Oryctolagus cuniculus: one gene and its partners. The main gene of each other region encodes a partner of the protein of the gene in region 3 in a complex. Links are inferred from orthologs where the notes say so. Each region holds a gene or a part of one and is shown on either strand. Other genes may lie near its edges.

The links.
Region 1: MED13L (region 3) and MED24 share a complex: the UniProt entries of both Homo sapiens proteins name them as parts of the mediator complex. The link is inferred for Oryctolagus cuniculus from reciprocal best matches to the Homo sapiens genes MED13L and MED24.
Region 2: MED13L (region 3) and MED20 share a complex: the UniProt entries of both Homo sapiens proteins name them as parts of the mediator complex. The link is inferred for Oryctolagus cuniculus from reciprocal best matches to the Homo sapiens genes MED13L and MED20.
Region 4: MED13L (region 3) and MED16 share a complex: the UniProt entries of both Homo sapiens proteins name them as parts of the mediator complex. The link is inferred for Oryctolagus cuniculus from reciprocal best matches to the Homo sapiens genes MED13L and MED16.
Region 5: MED13L (region 3) and MED26 share a complex: the UniProt entries of both Homo sapiens proteins name them as parts of the mediator complex. The link is inferred for Oryctolagus cuniculus from reciprocal best matches to the Homo sapiens genes MED13L and MED26.
Region 6: MED13L (region 3) and MED21 share a complex: the UniProt entries of both Homo sapiens proteins name them as parts of the mediator complex. The link is inferred for Oryctolagus cuniculus from reciprocal best matches to the Homo sapiens genes MED13L and MED21.
Region 7: MED13L (region 3) and MED25 share a complex: the UniProt entries of both Homo sapiens proteins name them as parts of the mediator complex. The link is inferred for Oryctolagus cuniculus from reciprocal best matches to the Homo sapiens genes MED13L and MED25.

The regions. Positions count from the first base shown.
Region 1 is NC_091448.1:22,404,805-22,407,319, forward strand, and holds the end of MED24 (mediator of RNA polymerase II transcription subunit 24), read left to right. Parts: intron 1-30; coding exon 31-130; intron 131-870; coding exon 871-951; intron 952-1,190; coding exon 1,191-1,339; intron 1,340-1,476; coding exon 1,477-1,593; 3' UTR 1,594-2,015; downstream 2,016-2,515. UniProt on the Homo sapiens protein: Component of the Mediator complex, a coactivator involved in the regulated transcription of nearly all RNA polymerase II-dependent genes.
Region 2 is NC_091436.1:127,992,858-127,996,731, reverse strand, and holds the end of MED20 (mediator of RNA polymerase II transcription subunit 20), read right to left. Parts: intron 2,958-3,874; coding exon 2,704-2,957; intron 1,430-2,703; exon of another isoform or gene 1,233-1,429; intron 1,119-1,232; coding exon 903-1,118; 3' UTR 501-902; downstream 1-500. UniProt on the Homo sapiens protein: Component of the Mediator complex, a coactivator involved in the regulated transcription of nearly all RNA polymerase II-dependent genes.
Region 3 is NC_091452.1:12,506,744-12,510,243, reverse strand, and holds part of MED13L (mediator of RNA polymerase II transcription subunit 13-like), read left to right. Parts: intron 1-99; coding exon 100-325; intron 326-1,323; coding exon 1,324-1,429; intron 1,430-1,743; coding exon 1,744-1,868; intron 1,869-3,500. UniProt on the Homo sapiens protein: Component of the Mediator complex, a coactivator involved in the regulated transcription of nearly all RNA polymerase II-dependent genes.
Region 4 is NC_091447.1:58,472,558-58,476,057, forward strand, and holds part of MED16 (mediator of RNA polymerase II transcription subunit 16), read right to left. Parts: intron 2,741-3,500; coding exon 2,309-2,740; intron 1,908-2,308; coding exon 1,802-1,907; intron 860-1,801; coding exon 704-859; intron 1-703. UniProt on the Homo sapiens protein: Component of the Mediator complex, a coactivator involved in the regulated transcription of nearly all RNA polymerase II-dependent genes.
Region 5 is NC_091447.1:64,938,934-64,943,082, forward strand, and holds the start of MED26 (mediator of RNA polymerase II transcription subunit 26), read right to left. Parts: upstream 2,801-4,149; 5' UTR 111-2,800; coding exon 1-110. UniProt on the Homo sapiens protein: Component of the Mediator complex, a coactivator involved in the regulated transcription of nearly all RNA polymerase II-dependent genes.
Region 6 is NC_091440.1:124,258,902-124,261,924, forward strand, and holds the end of MED21 (mediator of RNA polymerase II transcription subunit 21), read left to right. Parts: intron 1-590; coding exon 591-691; intron 692-1,687; coding exon 1,688-1,864; 3' UTR 1,865-2,523; downstream 2,524-3,023. UniProt on the Homo sapiens protein: Component of the Mediator complex, a coactivator involved in the regulated transcription of nearly all RNA polymerase II-dependent genes.
Region 7 is NC_091449.1:7,724,013-7,726,273, reverse strand, and holds the end of MED25 (mediator of RNA polymerase II transcription subunit 25), read left to right. Parts: intron 1-148; coding exon of another isoform or gene 149-246; exon of another isoform or gene 247-278; intron 279-1,377; coding exon 1,378-1,622; 3' UTR 1,623-1,761; downstream 1,762-2,261. UniProt on the Homo sapiens protein: Component of the Mediator complex, a coactivator involved in the regulated transcription of nearly all RNA polymerase II-dependent genes.

The DNA of each region.
Region 1 (2,515 bases), on a different chromosome or scaffold from region 3:
TCAGGTTGTGAAACAGTGACTGCCCCTCAGGACTACAGCAGCCTCTTCCCCTTGGACGACACGCAGCCGTCGAAGCTGATGCGACTGCTGAGCTCCAATGAGGATGACGCCAATATCCTTTCGAGCCCCAGTGAGTAGAGGGGCTGCCTTTGCCAGCCCCCCCCCCCCCCCGGCCCCGAGAGCCGCGCATGCACAGACGCAGCCACAGGCTCCGCTGGCTGGTTCTTCCCTGGTCCCTCCCTTTCACCACAGGGTTGGGGGGTGACAAACCACGCAGGTATGGCCACAGCTGCCTCAGTACAGTCTGTGCCATTGACTCATCAGCTCTGTGCTTCCTTCCTTCCCCCAAAACACACCCTGTGGTCTGGAGCAGGCCCAGCTGGGACTGGGGCTGCTCCCCACTCTTCCTGCCCGCGGAGCACCGGCCCAGCCTGGCTTCCACGCCCCCTTCCCCTAAGGCCTCTTCGGTGCCATTTCTCTTTCCTGAGAATAGAAATTTCTCTGAGGCTTTTTGGGGACTTCGGGGTCCAAGTGCACGTGTGAGAGGAGGAGAGATACTGGGCCTGCCACCTACAAGCCCCGTGACCGCGGCTTGTTGCTTAGCGAGGCTGAGCCCCCATGTCCTCACCTGCAGATGGGGTGTGAGAATTGAGAGCTGAGTCCTGGTGCAGCCCGGAGGCTGGGCCCCGGCCCTGGCGGTCCTCCTCATGGGGATGTCCGCATTCAGAGCTCCTCTGGACTCTGGTCTGAGGGTCTTCTCTGGGCTCTGCAGGGATCAGCTGATCCCCGAGTTGGGGGGGGCTGCCACTGGCAGAGCCACCAGTGAGTGCAGTGGCCGTCTCCTCAGCGTCCCTGCGCTCCTCCCCACAGCTGACCGCTCCATGAGCAGCTCCCTCTCGGCCTCCCAGCTCCACACGGTCAACATGAGGGACCCTCTGAACCGAGTCCTGGGTGAGTCCCCCGCTGCTGCTCCTGAACCTCTCCCTAAGGGAGGCAGGGGCCACGTCCGCTGGAAGAGGCCTCGCCTCCCCCACTGCACCTGCTTCCCCCTCGCCAGTGCTCCCGTGTCTCCCCGTTTTCCTCTATTTCCCCTGGACATTCCTGCCTGCGGGTCTCGGCGCCCCCTTCTACTCCCCTGCCTTCCCCTGGACTCTGATCTCTGCCTCCTCTTGCTCTCCCGTCCTGCACAGCCAACCTGTTCCTGCTCATCTCCTCCATCCTGGGGTCGCGCACCGCCGGCCCCCACACGCAGTTCGTGCAGTGGTTCATGGAGGAGTGCGTGGACTGCCTGGAGCAGGGCAGCCGAGGCAGCATCCTGCAGTTCATGCCTTTCACCACCGTGAGTGCCCTTCACCCCGGGCCACCGCCAGGCGGCCCAGGCGTCGCTGCACCCGCACCGGGGTGGGGCCTCCTTCCTCCTGGGACCCTGCACCACCTGAGGAACCTGGTGAGCCTCTGTTGTTCTGTCTGTGGCAGGTCTCGGAGCTGGTGAAGGTGTCAGCCATGTCCAGCCCCAAGGTGGTTCTGGCCATCACGGACCTCAGCCTGCCTCTGGGCCGCCAGGTGGCCGCCAAAGCCATTGCTGCCCTCTGAGGGCTTGGAGTGGCTGCAGGAATGGCTGGGAGGGTCCCAGCCTCAGGCACCTCAGGAGGGAAGAGTGAGGAGAGATGAAACGGCGTTGCTCTGGTGTGAGAGCCCTTGGTTGGTCTCCAGAACTTTTCCCCCCTTCCTGACTTCTAAACAGTTCCTACTTTTTTGTAATTTCTTCTCCCCTCTGCCTGTATCTAAAGAGAAGGAGCAGCCTGGATCCTTAGCCCAGGGCAGGGCCCCTGTGCAGCCTTCCCCCTTGCAGATTGGCCCCCAGGACTTCATGGACGCAAAGGGTGTGTGTGTATGTGTGAGAGAGAGAGGGAGAGAGAGAGTGCATGTGCATGTGTGTACGGGCCGTGTATTTTTGTAATGTGAGGGGAAGCCCACCTCAGCTCATTTGTAAATAAAGATCCTCACGGATCACATTGTGAGTGTCCGCACCATGGGTGTCTGCGTCTGCGCCCCGTGTCCCTTGCACTGGAGCTGGGGGAGGGGGGAGGAGGAAGAGGCTCAGGAAGTAGGGCTTAGGTTCCCGTGTGTGTTCACTGGGTAGGGGAGGGGGGCAGTGAGAGCAGCTTCCTGGGCTCAGACCCAAGTGGGGTGACAGCACTGGCCTGCGGCCCACCTGGTGAGCCGTACCCTGAAGCGGGAGGGGTTCTGGCATGCTGGGGCAGCATGTCCTGTTCTGTGGCTCCCCACCCGGTCTGTCCGGCCTGCAGTTTGAGCTGTCGCTTCCACAGGACAGGGCGAGGGACAGCAACGCTCTTGAACCCTTCCTTGCCTCTCCACACGCTCGGAGCCCCTGTGGGAGAGCCCTCAGCCAGGCAGTTGGGGTCTGGCCTTGCTGTCTAAGGCACTGCGGGGAGGAGAATGGGTGACAGGAGCTGAGGATAGGGAGGGCGCCCAAGACAGTGGGCTGGGTGGT
Region 2 (3,874 bases), on a different chromosome or scaffold from region 3:
GCAAGGTTCCGCGTCACAGCGAAGCCTTCCAGCAAAGTGTGGCACCAGCACTTGAATCGCTCCAGGTCATATGCTCTAAAAAAAAAAGCCGCTCTCTTCCCTCTTTCCCAGGGGAATGTGGACACAGAACTGAGGAGTCTGCTTTGATCTTGTGGGTAAGGATAATACCCTAGGGATAGCTGAACAACAAGACAGAAGGAAAACAAGTTCCTGATGACCTGGTACAGTTAAATCTGCTCTGGACCATCTGATTACCTGTGTACTATCAGAGGAGAAAGAAACTTTTACCTAGTAAGAGCCACAGTCCTTTTGGTTCTCCGCTACGACAGAGTTTAGCCTGTGGCTTAACATAATCACGACAGAAGGGAAAGACATCAACAGGAGAGCTCAAAAACTCAGCTAACACCCTAGGAAAGTCAATTCACAGTTTCTGGCAAACAGGTCAGAAAATGACAGGCATCAAACAAGCTGTGCTTCCGCCTGCATCTCCAGCCACATCCTTTGAGTTAAGGAAGAGATTTTTATTCCTGCATGGCCCAAACACGAAACGCAGCACATCTGTTGTGGGTCCAGACTGATTTCCCCACCAACACTAGGCAGGGGCACCCCTGTCCTACCTTTTCCCCTAAAGCAGGAGAGGTCCAAACTTCTCCAGTCTTCATAAATACCATTCCTGAGGACAGGCCAAATCCAGTGAGGCCTGGGGCAAAATGGCTGTTGGGGGGCTGTGTGAGGGTCAAGGGTGTGGAGTCCAGAGTCCCCACAAAGGCCACAGCTGGGAACTGGAAAGGAAGAGAGGCCTCCATGGCTGCCCTAGATTTCTGGGGTCCAGAGACCTGAGGGCAGCACCTCCTCCTGTGGAGTACCTCTGGTGACAAAGCTTGGCCAGCAGCTGCCAGCCACTAACGAATCCCAGCCACTGGCACCTGCTGCTGCTTGCGGATCTTGTTGAAGAGTTCCATGTACTGGACCATGGTGTCTGCTGGGCCATAGACTGCGTCGTGTCTGTTTCCAAACACTGCAGGAATCCCTGGTGTATGGCTGCCTAGAAAACTCTGTAGGAACTCAAGCAGCAGGCTCCAGCAGTCACTAGCTACCACGCAGGGGCCGTACTCCACCTGGGGACCAAAAGAACAGAGAATGAGGGTAAGGGAGGGCAAGGACAAGGTCTGCTCTCTTGCCCTCCTGCCCTCTGCCTCTATGTCCCCCAACCCTGAGTCAAAAACACACACCTGCCAGCACAGTGTTGTCCACAGGAAATATTCAACACACCCAGCATTGTTCCCATTAAACGCCATCCTGGAGGTTGTCAGCCCGCAGCCCTCCCTGTTAGCCCCATGGGCAGATCTGGGTCCCTTTTGTTTGTCTCAGGGCTCTGCAGACTCTGCTGTGATGCTTGGTGAGGATTCAAGGAGAGCTCAGGAAAATTCTGAGACATACAACAAAGAGAGAAGGGAAGAAAAATGTGTGTAGGTACGAGGAAGGCAGGAGTAGGGCTGAAGGGGTAAGTAGAGGGCAGAGTAGACACACATCCTCATGAGCCTCTTCAAGACCAATCTTTATTTCCAAGGCAGATATAGCCAGGGCTCTACGCCTAAAAGAATTTCCCAAGCAAGGTGGCAGCGGCCAAGAATACACATCTCAGGTTTTCTTGTTCCTCTCTCCTAGTTTTTCACTGGGGTCACAAGGAGAAACTGTTGAGTGTGTTTGTCCCACAAGGGTGGAAGTGGAGGACAAACAGCGGGTCCCGTTGGGTCTCAGCAACTCAAGGTGTATCCCAAGCTGAAAAGTTAGGGAATCTGTGCTCCAGAGGTTTCTGAGCAGAAATCACTGCTACTGCCCTTTTCCCCACCTGGGATGCTTCCCAGACCGACCCATCCCACGTCTCTATGTTTTAAGCCCCTACTTCAATGCTGCTCCTCCCAGAAGCATCACAACCGAGTCAGCAGTTACCGCTGGCCTGAATTCCCTGAGCAAAGCTGTGCTCCACTTATGGCATTTCTTGGACTGACTTCAAAAACAGTTTTCTAGCCTTGTTCTCTTAATAAATCATAGATTTCCAAAATGCAAGCCCTGTAAACTTCCTTGTTTTTTAATCTCAAATAATGCTGGGTATGTGGTAGGCCATGGACTTCCCCAGGTCCCAGGGCCAGCTTCCACCTTACTCCTCTCTGCCAATTTCAGTATGTATATTTAGGCTCACGGATGAAGTCTTCTCATACAGGTACCCCTCTGCACCACAAAACAGAGCAGCAGCATATCAAAAGGAAGGCGCATTTTCACTCCACAACTTCTGAGACCCATTTCAAAGCAACAATAAGGAGGCTGACATTCAAAGTGATGAAGGAGTCACCTTCCAAAAGTGGCTCCAAAAGTTGTCCTAGTCTGCTGCAGGTCCTGCCACAGCTCCTGCACATCATCACCCACATGTCTCCCTCAGTTCTCCCTTCCCTTCTCCGGCAAGTCAGGCATCGTATGCTTTTACCTGCTGTGCACCCAGCTTCCCATTTCCCATGCTGGGCTACTGATTCCATAACTGATGAAAGAAAGGGTAAAAAATTCATGGAGAGAAAGCCAGGAGCTTGGAATCAGGGGTCAGGCAGGCAAAAACATCTGTGTGACCTGGGCTGCCTGGAAAACCTTCAGAGCCCTCTGCTGCGCAGCCCCTCAGCACCACCTGCTCCCACTTCACCGAGATCTTACCTCCACAGAGATGCCCCGGGCACTGGGACCCATTGTCACAGTGCCCACCTTCACCAGGAAGTCACAGTACTGGTAACGGGTGCCCCGAGTCTCAATCTTGCTGGCCTTGGCACTCTGGAAAAAGCCCTTGAGCTTCACCATGAGCACATCAAAGTTGGTGTCAGCAATAAGGCAAGGGCCATTCTCAAAGAGGGCGAAGCAGCTCAACGGGTACTCCGAGTTGTGCATGACATACATCAGCTTCCCGGCCTGACCTGCAACGGACGGAGACCTACTCATCACCCAGGCTTTCGCTGGCAGACCCAGGCTGGGATCAACGCATGGAACAAGGCCAGCTGGCAAGCGGGTACTACTTTAGCAGTCCTGCATACCAGTGTGTATGTGGGGAGTGGTTCCCCTCTCCTTGGTGGCTCACAGAGGGATGCTTAGATGACTAACAGCTCATACAGAAAAAAAAGCTCAAACAAAATGTACTATGTTCTTTAGTATCTGAGAGTATTTCACAAAGACTGTAGAAAATGGAATCAGAAAACAAGCCTAGAGGCCAGTGTTGTGGTGCAATGGGTAATCCACCTCCTACAACACTGACTTCCATGCTGGACTGCTAGTTTTGAGTCCCAGCTACTCCACTGCTGTTTCAGTTTCCTGCCAATGTGCTTGGGAAGGCAGAAGATGACCCAGATACTTGGGCCCTGCTACCCACGTGGGAGTCCAGAATGCAGCTCCCAAACCTGGCTATTGTGGTCATTTGGAGAGTATTCCAGTAGATGAATGATCTCTCTCTGTCATTCTTTCAAATAAATAAGCATTTTTAAGTCCATTTTGGTACAAAAAATTTTTGAAATCTATGCATATTTTTTCATTATATGCTTTTTTGGGGCTGGTGCTATGTCAAAGCAGATAAAGCTGTTGCCTGCAGCACCAGCATCCCATTTGGGTACTGGTTTGAGTACCAGTTATTCCACTTCCAATCCAGCTCCCTACTAATGCACCTGGGAAAGCAATGGAAGATGGCCCAAGTGCTTGGGTCCCCACACCCATGTGAGAGACCCAGAAGAAGCTCCTGGTTTTTGATTGGCCCAGCTCCAGCCGTTGTGGCCATTTACAGAGTGAATCAGTGGATGGAAGATCTCTCTGTCTCTATAACTCTGCCTTCACATAAAATAAATCT
Region 3 (3,500 bases):
TTTAGTTTCAGTTTTATAAGTGCTTTAAATCATAAATGTTGCTGTTCTTTTGAAATATCATTTTGCCTTATTCAAATTGTCACTTATTTTCCCTTTTAGACTTCTAGCACAACCTAACAAACGGTTTAAAATCTGGCAAGACAAGCAGCCCCAGACGCAGCCGCTCCACTTCCTTGACCCATTGCCTCTCTCACAGCAACCTGGAGACAGTTTGGGAGAAGTCAATGACCCATATACCTTTGAGGACGGTGACATAAAATACATCTTCACAGCAAATAAGAAATGCAAACAAGGGTCGGAGAAAGATTCTCTGAAGAAGAATAAGGTACCATTTAACAGAGAGACAGAGTCCAGCGTGGTGTGGGTTCTATCTTTGTTACTACACCATGTTTGGGAAGACTTCGAGGCAGAGTGTTTGAGATAGCCTTGCCTGATTGCTCTGTCCCCATACTCATGCTCTTGGTACTATTGTAGCGAACAGCGTATTGTTCCTTTTTATGTCATGGCTCACCTTTGTTTAAAAGTCAGCCGAACATAAATGAAGCCTCATATTTTCCAGGCTATAGCTTGTACAGTGCATGTTTCCTCTCATATGCTAATTCTTGTTGGCCTATGCTCCCTGCTTAATTCTTTTTAAATATTATTACAAAGTCCCAAAAAGTAAAGGAAAAATGTTGACCATAGTGTGTACTATTTATTGAGCGCCTATTCTTACTGTATTGAGCGCTATTTCTGTATATCCTCTGAATGAATATCAACACTGCCCTTAGATTTTCAGTGTATTTTTACTCATCCTGCTTTCATAAAAGTGAGTACTGGGTGTGTCTGCTGTCTTTGACTTTAAATTTTAAAGTTCTAAAATACTGAGCCACTGAAAGAGATATTCCTGAAAATAGAGGAAATATAAAAATTAAAAGAGATGAGTATAGTTCAGGGGAATGTCTTCTAGATTCCTTTACATACATCTGTCCAGATCTGAAAAAGATCTGTAATTCAGCCTCTAAAATGTTATTAAAGACAGCTTTTAACATCACGGCAGGTCTTAATCAAATGCCACCAGTACTGTTTAGGTGTAAAACACTGATTCACTCATACCCCATAGGATACCCCGTAGGATTGAGGGGAAAGTGGGGGAGTTCTTGGTTCTGTTAAAATCTGGAGAAAGAACATATCTTTTATTCCCTTTGGTTGCATAGACCATGGTTTATCATACTTGTGCTCATAACAAGTTCCATTCTGCCCTCTAATTCTTTGTGTTCTCCCTCATATTCCACACTTTGGGTTGGTGTTCATGTGCTTTGTTTGGCTGAATTTATTATGCAGTCAGAGGATGGATTTGGTACCAAGGATGTCACTACACCAGGTCATTCCACGCCGGTGCCTGATGGGAAAAATGCCATGTCTATTTTCAGTTCTGCTACTAAAACAGGTGTGTACAATGGTTATTTGCCTCACTTGGATTGTTGCTAAAATAAAATGCAAGGGAGATGCTTCTGGATTTAAAAATTATTCTTACTGTAATAGCAATAATTTGATCACATCTTTAATATATTTTTCATAGTTTGTTTTTCAGTTCCTTTCAAAACTGATAAACATATTTGGAAATAATTGTCTCAAAATTTAACTAAAACCATAGGAAAAAAATTCTCAGGCAGGTCTTGTTGGTTGAGATCTGTGTCCTGTCCTCCCTCGTTCTCGCTGGACGAAGTTGTTCACTCTGTCTCTGTGCCTCCTTTCCCGCAGATGTCCGGCAGGATAATGCTGCTGGCAGAGCTGGCTCCAGTAGCCTTACACAAGTGACAGATTTGGCACCTTCCCTTCATGATTTAGACAACATCTTTGATAATTCTGATGATGAGGAGCTTGGGGTGAGTCGGCCGTGTCCACACATACAAGCATTTTGCTCTGTGTCAGTGTTTCAGTGTTTTGTTCTAGTTTAGTCCCCTAAACTTGGGGGTTTTTATTTCAAGTTCTGAATGTGCTTCAGACACTTTGAAAAGTATCCTGAAAGTTACCATATGCTTTTAAAGTATCCTGAAAGTTAGTGTTATATCTGACACCTCTTGGGATTTGTTGGTTGACAGGTGTTTTCATTAGTGTCATTCCAGTTCTAAATATTAAAATCTTTCCCATTTATTTTAATAAGTTTTTCTAAATATGATGGGGCTAATGGAAGTATATAGTTTCTTTATATAGGAATTTTAAAAAAAATTCCCACACAACTTTTTATTCATCTATTAAATCAGAAGTTAGTGTTTTTTTTTTTTTTTTTTAAATTTAGGACTGTTTTCCTTTTTTTCTTTTAAATGCTTATTTATTTTCATCTACTTGAAATGCAGAACAACTGAGGGGGTAAGGGAAGAAGGAGAGAGATTAAGTGAGAGAGCTCTTCCGTCTGTTGGTTTATTTCCCAGGGCTAGGCCAGGCTGAAGCCAAGAGCCTGGATCTGCAATGGAAGTGGCAGGGACCCACGCACTTGAACTATCAGCTGCTGCCTGCCAGCATACATTATCAGGAAGCTGGATCGGAAGTGGAAGTACCGGAACTAAACTGATAGGGGATGTGGGCGTCTCAGGTGGCAGCTTAACCTGCTGCACCACAGAGCCTACTCCTAGTCTACAGTTTGAGAAATAGACAAGTGTGACACCTACTTTTGAGGATCATAGTATTGTGTTAGGGAAGTAGAACTTGTACACACAGAAGTTAACTAATAGGTGATTATAGTGTCAGATAAGAATTAAAATTATTTGGAGATCACCTGAGTGCTAAGAGTCAGGAAATGTCTGTCCTTGTCCTCTTGATCAGCTGTGTACCTCTGAAATGTAAGTGTCTGTTATTTTGAGAGCACCTATAGATGAATAAGAGGGACTGTCTTTTCAAGGAAGCCACTTTATTTATTTTTCCTTCATTGATTCATTTATATGCCTCTCCATCCATTTATTTTACATGAATTGTTGATCATTTGATGATCAGTTCCCTTGTGGCAGGTACTGAGGCTAATCAGTAAGGGCACAAATATGATTAAATTACCTCTCTCTTCTGCTCGAGGTGCTCACAGATATAAGGAGAAATGGCTATGATTAAAACTGTAGTGTACTTACTGCTGTGAGTCCAGGGACAGGACAGAGTCGAAAGATGACAAACCTTCAAGTGCAAACAGGCAGTATCGGTGTTTAAGTTAAGCCTGAAAGGTTAAATAGGGGTCAATTTCCAAAGCCAGTTCTAACTCTCCATAAAATATGTCTAGTTAATAGATATTATGCACTGTTAGTATTATAAGTACTCAGAAGATGATGAGATCATAGTGGCCTTAAAGAAAGAATTTGACATTCAATGTGGGAAAATTGGGGTGGGTAAAAGACAGGGGGGACATTAGTTTGGATCCAGAGTGAGCCTTGATTAAGCACCAAGAATGAACTAGATTGAGGATAATGGAAAACCTTTGATCTGATTGCTGATGGTGGGTAGAGACTGATGGGGCTAGGAAGGCTTTTGGGCAG
Region 4 (3,500 bases), on a different chromosome or scaffold from region 3:
CCCCTGTTCCCACAGGGACGGAGCCGCCAGGACCTGGGGCTCCCGGCAGGGGTGCCTCGGCCTTCCAGGAGCCAGACACAAAGGGCCTGGGGTGGAAGGGGGTGGGGGCTGTCCCTCCCCTCGCCGCAGGCCGTGAGGCGGGGGCAGGGCCTGGGCTGGGCAGCTGTGCAAACTGAGGCTTGGTGTGGAGACCTGGGGAGCTCAGGGCCGGCATCCAAACGTCAACACAAGCCAAGAGCCCGGCTCGGACCCCTGCCCCGCCCCAGGACACGCTGACCCCCCCCAGCCCCAGGACACACTGACCCCTGCCCAGCCCCAGTGCATGGACCCCCCCTGCCCCGCCCCAGGACACGCTGACCACCCCCGCCCAGCCCCAGGGCATGGACCCCCCCCTGCCCAGCCCCAGGACACGCTGACCCCCCAGCCCCAGGACACGCTGATCCCGCCCCGCCCAGCCCCAGGACACGCTGACCCCCCAGCCCCAGGACACGCTGACCGTCCCCTGCCCCGCCCCAGGACACGCTGACCCCCCCCAGCCCCAGGACACGCTGACCCCCCCCGCCCAGCCCCAGGGCATGGACCCCCCCCGCCCAGCCCCAGGACACGCTGACCCCCCCAGGACACACTGACCCCTGCCCAGCCCCAGGACACGCTGACCCCCCCACCCCAGGACACGCTGACCCCCCCCCCCCGTCACGCCTACCGAGGCCGGGGTAGAACTGCGTGTCGCTGGCCACCTTGAGGTCGGTGTTGGTGAGCGAGACGGGCAGCTTGGGCAGCGCCACGGCCGACACCCGGTCCAGGTCGTTGGTGGCCGACAGGATGCGCCACTTGAGGATCATGGGCTGCTTGTCCACAACTGGAGGAGGAGGAGGAGGTGGCCGCTGAGCCCCGCCCCGCCCACCCCAGGGGACAGCTGCCCCCGCGGGCCGACAGGACGCGTCCAACACGGCGGAGCCCCGGAGGCCGGCCCCTGACCAAGGCTCTGACCCCGTGCCTGCCCGAGCCAGGCTGCACTGTGGCAGGTGCCCGGGGTGGACGCCGCGGCGAGGAGGGTGGACAGCAGGGGCCACATCTCGGGTCTGACGGGGCCCCAGGCTCCCTGACTCAAGCCCCCAGGGCCCTGCTGCGGGAGCGTGGGGACCCAGCCTGGTCGAGGGGAGGGGGACGGGGCTCTGGGCGGGGCCGCGGTCACAGGGACAGGGCTGGACAGAGCCAGCGTCCCGGCCTCCCAGGGGCCCACAGCTGCGCGAGGACGAGGGCTGAAGAAACGGCGGGCGCAGGCCCCGCGAGCGTCACGCCCTGCCTGTGCGCCCAGCACTGGGGGGCGGCTGCCGGGGAGCCCAGGGCCCTGGGGCAGCCTCCAGGCCAGCTGGGGTGTCCACTGCGGGAAAAACACCTGTGTCCTTGGGGGGTCTCTGTGTGGGGAGAGCAGGCTGTGTGGGGGGGGGAGCAGGCTGTGTGTGGGGGGAAGCAGGTTGTGGGGGGGAGCAGGAGCAGGCTGTGTGTTGGGGGAAGGCCACCACCTGCCCCCTCCCAGACCCCAGACCCGGTGCCCGATGCCCCCCAGACCCGGTGCCCGATGCCCCCCAGGCCGCTGCCCGCCGCCCACCTAGACCCGGTGCCCGATGCTCCCCCCCCCGCCCACCTGCGCCCAGACCCCAGACCCGGCGCCCGATGTTGCCCAGGCTGCCGCCCGCCGCCTGCCCCCGCCCAGACCCCCGACCCGGTGCGGTGCCCAGTGCCCGGCGCCCGAGCCTGCCCGCGGGGCTGGCATGAGCGGCCGCCCCAGCGCCCTCACCGGCGGGGGAGATCTGCTGGAAGACGTTGTTCACGGGCAGCCCCTCCTTCCGCAGGGACCAGCACTCCACCAGGCTGCTGGTCTGGCTGGACGCGCACAGGAGCACCTGCGGGGGGGGGGGGCAGAGCGCGCTGGGGGCGGGGCCCTGGGCGAGCGCGCGTGGGCGGGGCCCTGGGCGAGCGCGCGCGCGGGGGGCGGGGCCCTGGGCGAGCGCTCGCGGGCGGGGGGGGGGCAGAGCGCGCTGGGGGCGGGGCCCTGGGCGAGCGCGCGGGGGGGGGCAGAGCGCGCTGGGGGCGGGGCCCTGGGCGAGCGCGCGGGCGGGGGGGGCGCAGAGCGCGCTGGGGGCGGGGCCCTGGGCGAGCTCGCGTGGGCGGGGGCGGGGCCCTGGGCGCGCGCGGGGGGGGGGGGCGCAGAGCAAGCTGGGGGCGGGGCCCTGGGCGAGCGCGTGGGCGGGGGCGGGGCCTCCCGACGCCCATCGCCGCGGGCGCCGGAGCCCGGGCGGCGCACCTGCTCGGACATGTCGCGGGCCAGGAACTTGAGGTGGGTGATGGCCGGGAAGCTGTCCTTGCGGCTGAGCGCCGTGGTGCAGCGCATGAAGAGCGAGGGCAGGATCTCCGTGTCGATGCGGCACTTCTCGCTGACCACGCCCACGCACACCTTGTAGAACTGCACGGGGGACGCGCTGCTGCCGTCGGCCGCCGCCACCACGATGTTGCCGCCGCCCGTGAAGGCGATGTCGGCCAGGGCCACGCGGCCGCGCAGGCGGCACAGGCTCTCGGTGGACGTGAGCACCTGCCCGCTGGGCTTGAGCAGGGACACGGTGACCAGGCCGCTGACCGTCACGGCGATCCAGCCCTCCATGGGCTTGCCGCCGAACAGCGTGAGCGACGGCGAGAACTTGACGCGGGAGAACTTCTCGCCGAAGCTGGAGGCGCCCGACTGCGGGAGAGGCGGAGGGGCCGGGCTGCCGTGCGCGCCGCACCGGGACCACCGGAGCCCCGCCCCCGCCCCACCGGAGCCCTGCCCGCGGACCACCGGAGCCCCGCCCCTGCCCGCACACCCGGACCACCGGAGCCCCGCCCCCGCCCCACCGGAGCCCCGCCCGCGGACCACCGGAGCCCTGCCCCTGCCCGAGCACCCGGACCACCGGAGCCCCGCCCCTGCCCGCGCACCCAGACCACCGGAGCCCCGCCCTCGCTGACCCCGCCTTGCCTGTGCGGGAGCCCGGGACACGCCTACCGCGGAAGCCCACGGACAGGGCTGAGGGGGGACACGCGTGTGCCGGACAGGGCTGAGGGGGGACACGCGTGCACCGGACAGGGCTGAGGGGGGACACGCGTGTGCCTCTCAGGCCCAGCCACATCGTGGGGGGCTGCTGCCGCTCCAGTGCCACATCAGGCCTTCAGATTAACATCACGCCCACGCCCGGAGAGACGCGGGAGCCCCGGCCCCTCCCCCAGACCCCCGGCTGCCCCGGCCCCTCCCCCAGGCCCCTCCCCCAGACCCCCGGCTGCACCCGACCCCAGTCGCTGAGCCGCCTGCAGCCTGTGCTGGACTCCACCCGTGGCCGTGGGCGCCGGCTCACACCACGTGGCCGTCCACCCGTGGCAGGCGCAGCACAGCCCCTGAGTGGCAGGGAATTCTGGGATACCAGTGGCTCAGCGTGAGGGCCGGGTCCTGGGGACGGCGGCCTGGGTGC
Region 5 (4,149 bases), on a different chromosome or scaffold from region 3:
CCTCTGCAGATCTCTCTACCCGCTGGGGAGGAGGCCAGGCTCCTGGGGTTCCACCTACAAAGCCAGGTCAGGTAGAGAGGGGTGCGTGCCCCTGAACACCAGCGGAACATTCCAGAGCAGTCAGGCCCCCACCCCCAGCAATGCAGTGCCGGCCCCCCACGAAGGCGGGCAGGACATGGAAGGTCCCTGATCCAACAGCCCTGCAGAGCCCAACACGGCCACTCTGTCCCAGGGGACACCGAGCACCCAGCCGTGCGGGGCCCTGAGGAGCAAGAGGCGAGCTGGCCACGGGAAACCTGCCTCGCCTACCACACCATACCCCTCCAGTGGCCTCCCACCGTCAGTGAAGGGAGCCTGTGGCTGACAGGGGCTCTGGCGGCCAGGACGGACCACCAGGGCAAGGCCGAGAGGGGACAGACACGGGGGGCGCGGGCTGGCTCCCACACACTCTGTCTCCCACCAGCCTTCGCTGCTGCCGCGCCCCAGGTCTCGGTCGCTCCCGGAGCCGTGGAGAAATGTGCCTGATCCGAATGCCAGCACAGGCGCTGCCCCCGAGGCAGCCTAAGGCGGCTCTGCCGACACCGCCCACGGCACACAGGGCGCTGGGGGCCCGCAGCTTCTTCCTGGGGATTCATTCCCAGGCCAAACACCTCCCCACCCTCTGCCAAGTGGCTTTCGGAGAAGGGAGGAGTTGGCAGGGACTGCGGCCTCTTAGGTTTGTCAGGGCTCCCCGAGCAGATGCACATCACTGCTTTCCTCGAAGCAGAGAAGCCGGTGCCGGCCCAGTTCCACCAAGGGGCCGTCCCGATCACCACCACCACCATGTTGGCCTGGAGTGGGAGGGGGCCCTGAGGTGCCCACCCCGAGGGCTCTCGGGCAGCAGTCCCAGGGGTGCTGTGGACTGTCACACGGGATCCTGGCCTGGAGAGCACTCGGGGCCGACAGGAAAGGACACACCGGCCAGCCCGTGTCTCTGGGGTCTCACAGACACGAGTGGGGACGCCTGGTCTTGGGCTGGAGGGTCAAGGCGGGCGGAACTAGCAGGGAGAGGTGACCTGCTATCTAGGTGAGGGTGGCCAGCCGGACGTGCGGCATGCATGCCGGGCGCTCGAGGCTCTCCCGTGCCCGCGCCACCGAGACCCAAGCGCAGGCGCGGACGCCCCAGGAGACCTGAGGCTTCCTGCACAGGTGTGGCCAGCACGTCTCACAGCCGACACGCGAAGGAAGCGGGGCCGGACCCACACAGGGGAGCGCCCACAGGGAGCCCGGGGCCCAGGAGCGCTGCCCCTCTCCCGGGGATGGGACGGCAGCAGAGCGGACTGGCTCCACGTGCTGTCCACCCAACAGGACGCGGAGCAGACTCCTCTCTGCTTTGATGTCTGAAATTTGCCGAAGATAACAAATGTATATACACGACAAATCACACCTGATCTGTTAACACCGGACGGAAGGTCTCGGCTCCAGACGACTGGCAGGCACTCAGGTGAGGGAGCACAGACCCGATGGCAGCCCCTCCGCGGCGTGTGGCTCCACCATCTGCCACCAGTGCGGGGAGGGGGCCGTGCTGGCCTAACCTCTGCTCCAAAGGACACGGCCCCTCCATCTGCTGAGCCCCCCGGAGCTCCTCGCCGGGCCTCCCGCAGGCTGCGGGTCTGCCGCCCGCCAGTCCCAGCACAGAAACGGCCTGCGTGCCTGAGCCAGAAGGCAGGGCTGAGCGCTCGGCCCGCGGCCTGACTCAAGCTTCTCCCTTAGCGGGAGCCCAGGATGGCTACGGCCACAGAGAGGGCAGGTGCACGGGCAGCCGAGACCAGCCAGCAGGCAGGAGGGGTGTTCCAGGTCTGTCACACGAGGGTGAGGACATGGGCAAAAGCCCTTGCCCGTCTCCATAGGTGGAGAGGACACCGCCGCACCCGTGCGGGAGCAGCCGGGAGCCAGGCACATGGTGCAGAGTCCACAGCTGGGTCACAGGCCGTGGCCGCTCTGCCTTGTGGCCACCCTCACGCCCCCAGGAGCCCAGACCGCCGTCCGAGTCGCACTGCCGCGGGGCTGTGAGGGCACCTGCAGCCCAGGCGGCCTCGGCAAAGCCGCACCTGGGGAAGCGGGGCTGCGCCTGCAGCGCCCGAGCAACGCTGCCCGCGGGGGATTTCCAGCCCTGAGCAGAAACGAGGAACTGAGACACGCGGCCGTGCAGTCGGAGAGGTCCCTCCGCTCCCAGCCCCGTCTCCACCTCGGGGAGGGCCCTCTCCGGCCTGCAGCTGGCGGTGTGCCACGCTCCCTCAGGCCTGAGCCCTGAGCCTGCCCCGGCCCGGCGGGCTGCACAGGAGCCCACATCTCTCAGTGCTCACCCCCACGCCCCCATTTCCAGGTAAAGAAACAGATGGCCCAAGGAGAAAGACCACCCAGCTAGAAGGCTGCACAGGCCCCGCCCGCCAGCCTGAAGGGACAGTGGCATCAGACTCTGACCCTCCCCAGCAGGAAATGCACAGTTTCCAGAACGTTCCTCGAAACCACAGGGCCACCTCCAGATGGCCCTGGTGCTGCTTCTGTGCTCTCCCCAGGCCGCACGGGGTCTCCAGCCCACACTCAACGCTGAGCCAAGGGCCCATCCACAGCCCTGGAGCCTGCTCCGCGCCGTGCTGGCCCGATGACTCCCCGTCTGGCCACCCTTCCAACGCCCCAGGCAGTGGGCAGTACCCCCCTCCCGGGGCTGCGGCCCCAAAGCACCTGCGCAAACGGGTTCCCCCGAATCTAACAGTGTGGACACTGCTGCTGGTTTATTATTAGTTTTAAAGGCAGAACTGGTCTAGACAGAATTTACAAAACCACTTACTCGCAAAGCTCTGGAAGTGCTCATCAGGGAGCAAGCCGTCGCTCCCATTCCACGCCCAAGCACAGCCTGCGTGGTGCTGGGCAGGAGGCCGCCTGCACAGGGCTGGGCATGCGCCGTGTGTGCGCGGACACGGGAAGGAAGCGGGCCCCGCTGGTGCACGCGTGTGTGCTCTGGTCCAGCCGTGCTCTTCAGCCCAAGTCTTCCTGCTTCTGACAAACCCCACGAGTCCCCAGGCAGCTCCCTCTGCTGCAAGTCACTGCAAGGAGGGGCGGCCCCTGCGGCCCCCACACAGCCCAGCGCTGCCCGCTCCCGCCTCCTCCACAGCCCCCCCCCCCCCCCCCGCCGCCCCGGGAGCCTCAAACCCACAGGGGCAGAGTCCCTCATTACGGCTTCCCAGAGGAAGAACAGCCCGGCTGGGGGGGGGGGGGGGGATATCCCAGTCACAGCCACCAAGTGACCACCTGCAAAAGCACTTCCTCACTGGCGGGCCGGCCTGCTGCCCCCGGAGTATCAGCCCTCTGGGCGGCCTGTCGGCGTCCCTGGGGTGACGACCCTGTGCACTGAGCTCCTGCCACGGGCAGCAACGGGCCGAGCACAAAATCGCACTTGGAACCTTGGTCGGGGACAGAAGCACCAGCCTGGGTGCGGGCAGCGGGCGGAGGCCTGGCTGCTCCCCACGAGTCGCCCAGAAATGGGAAGCTGCTGCGGCAGCGGTGGAGGTTCCCAGGCGTGCAAACGCACGGTGGCCCTGGGAGGAGAGCTACGGCAGGCCTCAGGTGGGAGCTCCGCTCAGCAGAGGGCGGCGGCTCTGCGCTCCGCAGCCACCGCCCGCCCCGACCCTCCTCGCTTCCCGCCCACTTCACGTCTGCACAGCTCCTCCCGGCCCAAGGCCCACTGGCTCACACAGCCCCTGGACTCAGAATCCTGATCTCGGCCCTCTGGGGGCAGAGCAGGTCTCAGAATGTCACCTGCAAGCTGCTTCCTTTCCGACGTGGACACAACTGGAGCGCGAGCAAGCGAGCGAGGCAGCCACACCGAGGCCTTCACCTCTGCCCTCTGTGAGGACACTGGGCCGGCGGCAACTCCCCCTCTCCCAGAAACCGCTAATAAGAATGCCAGCTACAGGAGATTGCACAGGACCTGGGGCCCGCGAGAGGGGACCCGCACACAGCGCTGAGCCGGCTCTACCGCGGAAGAGTTGCACCGAGCGGGAACAGGGACCAACCTCCGGGAGACACCAGGCACAACTGCTGAGGCTCGCCACGGCACCCTGGGCTGCCCCTTGAGAGAACGCACGCGAGGACCACGCAGTGCAGCCC
Region 6 (3,023 bases), on a different chromosome or scaffold from region 3:
ATCCCATGTACAGATTCATTGATTCTAGTGTCTTCCATATTATCCTAATACATGAAGTGAACATGCCTTAGGCTTAATTCTCTGAGCCTGTATTAAGTTAAATATGTAACAGAACTGGTGCCTTGAAATTGATTTTTTTCTTTTAAATATTTCTATTTGAAAGGCAGAGTGATAGAGAGTGAGGGAGAGACAGAGAGCATGAGAGATACCTTCCATCTACTGGTTCATTCCCCACAGGGACATAAAGGCCGGGACTGAGCCAGGAACTCCATCCAGGTCTCACACATGGGTGGTAGGGGTCCAAGTACTTGGGCCATCTTCTGCTGCTATCCCAGGGACATTAGCAGCGAGCAGGATCAGAAGCAGAGGAGCCAGGACTTGAACCAGCACTGGGACATGGGTTGCCAGCATTACGATTAGTGGCTCAACCCAGTGCATCACTACACTGACTCATTAAAATAACACTTTGATCATTGGAATTCTAATATTAAAAAGTTAGGTGAAGTTTCCTGGTTTCATTAACTTGAATCTAATTTTCTGTTTGTGTAAACCCGAGATTTTCTCATACTAATTGAGTAGTCTTTCTGCAGAGTATGCCCAGCTTTTTGCAGCACTTATTGCACGAACAGCAAAAGATATTGATGTTTTGATAGATTCTTTACCCAGTGAAGAATCCACAGCTGCGTTACAGGTAACAACCTTTTTTCTTAGAGAATTTTACTGGTAGCAGAGAATTTTGAATTGAAGGAGATAGATTTATTGACTTTCATTGTAATATTCAGAACTATTTTATGATTATTTTTAAGGATTTACTCTTGGATTTACTTGAAAGACAAAGTCAGAGAGGGAGCCGGAGACAGAGATACCTTCCATTCACTGGTTCACTCCCCAAATGGCCACCACAGTCTGGCCTGGGTCAGGCTGAAGCCAAGAGCCTGGAATTCCATCTGGGTCTCCCATGTGGGTGACAGGAGCCCAAGCAGTCATGTGGGATGCTGGCATTGCAGGAGGTGGCTTAACCAACTGCATCTCACAACACTGTCCCCATACTTTCCATACTCTAGTTCACTTCCGAAATGATCACAGCTGGACCAGGCTGGAGCCAGGAGCTTCTTCCGGGTCTCCCATGTAGGTGCAAGGGTCCAAGGACTTGGGCCATCCTTTGCTGCCTTCCTAGGCACATTAGCAGGGAGCTGGATCTGAAGTAGAGCAGCCAGAACTTGAACAGGCGCCCTTATGGGATGCTGGTGTGGCAGATGATGGTTTACCGTGCTGCGCCATGATGTCAGCCTCTAAGATGGGCGTTTCACTAATTCAGTGCTAGTATTGTCTGTTGAAGATTGTGCTGAATAGCTGTACAGTAGTTGTCCAATTTTGAGTTAGAAGGAAACCTTGTATGTTCTGGTTTATCTTTTTCTAGCAAAGAAGGAAAGGATGGTGGCTTTCTGAACGAGGAATAAAATAATGGATAGCAAAGGCAGTTTGGAACAGAGTCATACTAGATAGTAAGATCTCTTGAAAATCCATTACTTTATAATCATATGGAGGAACTTAAGTTACCTCACTTTGAGAATTTCTCCTATTAAAACTGTATCACTGGTTGCAAAATCACCGAGATTTAAAAATAAATACCTCTACTGCAGTCTCTTCTCCACTCTAAAAGATTGTCAAATTTATGTCTTAAAAGGCTGCTAGCTTATATAAGCTAGAAGAGGAGAACCACGAAGCTGCCACCTGTCTGGAGGATGTTGTGTACCGAGGGGACATGCTTCTGGAAAAGATCCAAAGTGCACTCGCTGACATTGCACAGTCCCAGCTGAAGACGAGGAGCGGCACCCACAGCCAGACCCTGCCGGACTCATAGCACCGGCACGTGCCGGCGGCTAAGAACTGTCTCAAGGCCATTAAGAATTCTACCTTGGATTAAATGTCAGCCTTACCAGCAGTTACAGAAACGTTAAACGTTATGACATGTTTTACCTTTGTAGCTGTTTTTAAAATCTTCTATTTTTACTCTTGATAAACAAGCATATAAAGTTGTGATTGAACCAGCTTTAAACTATCAGTTTTTTTTTAATCTGAGATTACTAAGGCAGATACTGCATTTGTGATCAAAATACAAATAAACATGCACTGTTCTTTGGTGACAAAGTTTGTATGTTGTTTAAAACTCAAATTTCTGTAATAGTCCTGGGGCCAGCACTGTGGGTGGCAGGAAAAGCCACCGCTTGCAGTGCTGGCATCCCATATGGGCACTGTTAAGAATCTGGGATGCTCCTCTTCCGATCCAGCTCTCTGCAATGGCCTAGGAAAGCAGTGGAAGATGGCCCAAGTCCTTGGGCCCCTGCATCTGCATAGGAGACCCAGAAGGAGCTCCTGGCACCAAGCTTTGGATCCACCCAGCTCTGGCCATTGCAACCATTTGGGGAGTGAACCAGTGGATGGAATACCTCTCTCTGTCTCTCCTTTCTCTCTGCCTCTCTGTAACTCTTTCAAATAAATAATCTTAAAAAAAAAAAAAAATCGGTAGTCCTTTCATAAATGAAAACAACCCTGAAGCCAGAAGAGACATTCTCAGTGCAGAGATGGATCTTTCAGTGGGCTGGTATCTTTGCCACTATGGAGGTGGCATTGTATAAATTTGGAGCTTTGAGAAAGGAAGTTTCTGAAAATTTGTCAGTTCTCAGAAACCCAAAGTGTTAGTGTGGCCGGGTGAGAGTAGGTCACACTGAGGCAAACCTTTGCTCTTGCAGAACCTCATGTCCCTTTGAATTCACCTCCACGTTTGCTTTGACTGAGAAAGCCTTGACTCAATGAAATTCCCAGGCTGCTGTGAGTTTTCTTCATCCTGATTGGCTTGTTCTCTTTATCTACAGGCCTGTATTCTGCTCTCATTACCCCCCCCCCCCCCCCCGCTGTATTTTAAGAGGGCCATCCTCCCATAGCAGTTATTTCAGAGTTGTTTTCTCCATCGCTCCTCAGTGTGTCAGCATGTCAGCTACAGTGACTGATGCAGCTCTGGG
Region 7 (2,261 bases), on a different chromosome or scaffold from region 3:
GTGGGAAACGGCGTCTGCAGCCAGGCGGGGCGAGGCGACTTCAGACACTGAGGGCCTTGGCTCTCAGGAGGAGGGGCGAAGCAGGCGCAGGGCCCTGCAGGGCCCCAGGGCCTACTGGGAGATGCAGTCCCTTCCCACTGCCCCCCAGGTCAGATGCTGCTGAGCGGGGGTCCCCGGGGCCCGGTCCCCCCGCCGGGCCTGCAGCCCAGCGTCATGGAGGACGACATCCTCATGGATCTCATCTGAACCCGCCCCCAATAAAGTTCCTTTTAACACCCGCCCGGCTCCCGTCACTGACGTCCCCAGCCCCGGGCAGGAGGCCCGGGAGACCTCTGTCCCGTCCTTGCTGCCGCGGGAGCCAGAGGCAGGCAGGCAGCGGCCGGACTGCGCGGTGCACGCGGCGCGGGGCGCTGCAGGACTGCAGGAGCCCGAGCCGCTGGACGCAGCAGCCAGTGGGGTCAGGCGGGGTGCAGGGACAGCCGCGCAGACGCTCCGGGGCGGGAGCGTGGGCTGTCTGAGCAGCAAGTTGGTGGGTGCTTCTGGAGTGAGCGTGAGGGGAGGAGCTGGCGGGGCGGCACCAGGGGGCCTGGGCCGACTCCTGTGTGTCAGGAAGACTCCTGGGCCGTGGAGGGCGGGGAGGCCAGGCAGGAGGCCAGGGCTCGCGGGGTTGGGCCAGGCACGGCCGCTGGTTCTGGTGGAGGAGCTGGTGCAGGGGCGTGCAGGCAGAAGGCGCCCTGTGGGAGCCTAGGCCGTGCTGTAGGGACAGGCGCGTGTGAAGAGAGGGCAGCCTGGGCCTGTCGGAGCGGCCTTCCCGGGCTTGGACAGGTTGTTCAGTGAGGCCGCCCGAGGCGGGGGACCTGGCAGGGTGAGGGTCTGGGCGCAGGCCGGCCTGTCCTGCCCTGCCCTGGGGGCCGCGCGGGTGTCCGGCAGGGTGCGCCTGGACCCCGCTCCGCGCTCGGCGTGCAGCGTCTAGGGCCCGCCCCAGGGAGAGGTTGCAATCTGGTGGCCCGGGGGCCCCTCAGATGGGTTTTGTTTGGCCTTCCGTGTGTTAGCATGCCTGGGCACTTCTTGAGGTAGTTGTAGAAGTGGGGCACTCACACACACACACACACACACACACACACACACACGATCTGTAGTCTCGGCTGCTCGTGAGGTCAGCAGCTCTGGCCCCCGGGCCCACGCTTCTGCCTGGCGGCAGCGGGCAGAACTGCCCTGTCGGGGGCATGTGCTCCCCGGTTCGCCACAGTCCCCACCGCTCCCTCGGCCCCCCACGGGAGGCAGCGGCACCGCCGTGGCCCTGGCGTGCACTGCGGCTGTCCCTGTGGTGGCGTGCAGAGAGTGAAACCTTTCTTGTACCCATGTCTCTACCAAAAGCGGCAAAGCGAAAGAGAGAAGGCGAGGGCCGCGTGTTTCGAGAGAAATGGGAGCGAGACTATTTCTTTGTGGAGGTGAAGAGCATGCCTACGTGTTTAATATGCAAAAAAATCGTGTCTGTGTTGAAAGAGTACAACCTGAAGCGCCATTACGAGTCCAAGCACAGCAAGAGCTACGACCAGTACACGGAGCAGACGCGCGAGGCCCTGCTCAACGAGCTGAAGAAGGGGCTCAAGTGCCAGTAGGAGTCCCCGGGCCAGGCCGCCGGGCCTGCGACCCTCGCCGAAGACGGCGCAGCCCAGGCCACTTTATTTATTCGCGGTGCCGAGCGCGTTGGTGTTGGTGGGACCCTGGGGGTCAGACGCCGCCCCAGGTGGGCCCTGGCCGGGAAGTGACTTTGGTGTCTTGAAGATGGCAAGTACCCGTGGACTGGCCCAGGGTCTGCAGCACAGCCGCGGTGGTGGCGGTGACCTGTGGGAGCCACCAGCATGCCTGGGTCCCAGGACAGAGAACTCGGGCCCTGGCGCTGTTCTCGCCGTGCAGGGGGACGCCCCGACACCTCGACAGACACCGCTCCGTGCGCCGGCGGGTGTCCCTGGAGCTGCTGAAGTCCCCTGAGCTGGCGCATCGCCACCCGGGCCCCCACCCCAGGAGCGCAGTCGGGGTCCCGGCTCCTGTGACCACTGCTCTGCAAGGACGTCACATGCAGCGACTTGAATGTGTCCTCACGTTTGCCACTGTGGGGACGCCCGGACGTGGGGAGCCCGCTGAGCACCGTCCGCTCGGCCACCGGGCCGCTGGGCGCCGGCTCCGGCCCTCGCTTCTGCCGCCCAGCGCTCAGGCCTGAGCCCCGGGGCCGAGGCGGATTCCGGGACCGCCCGGGC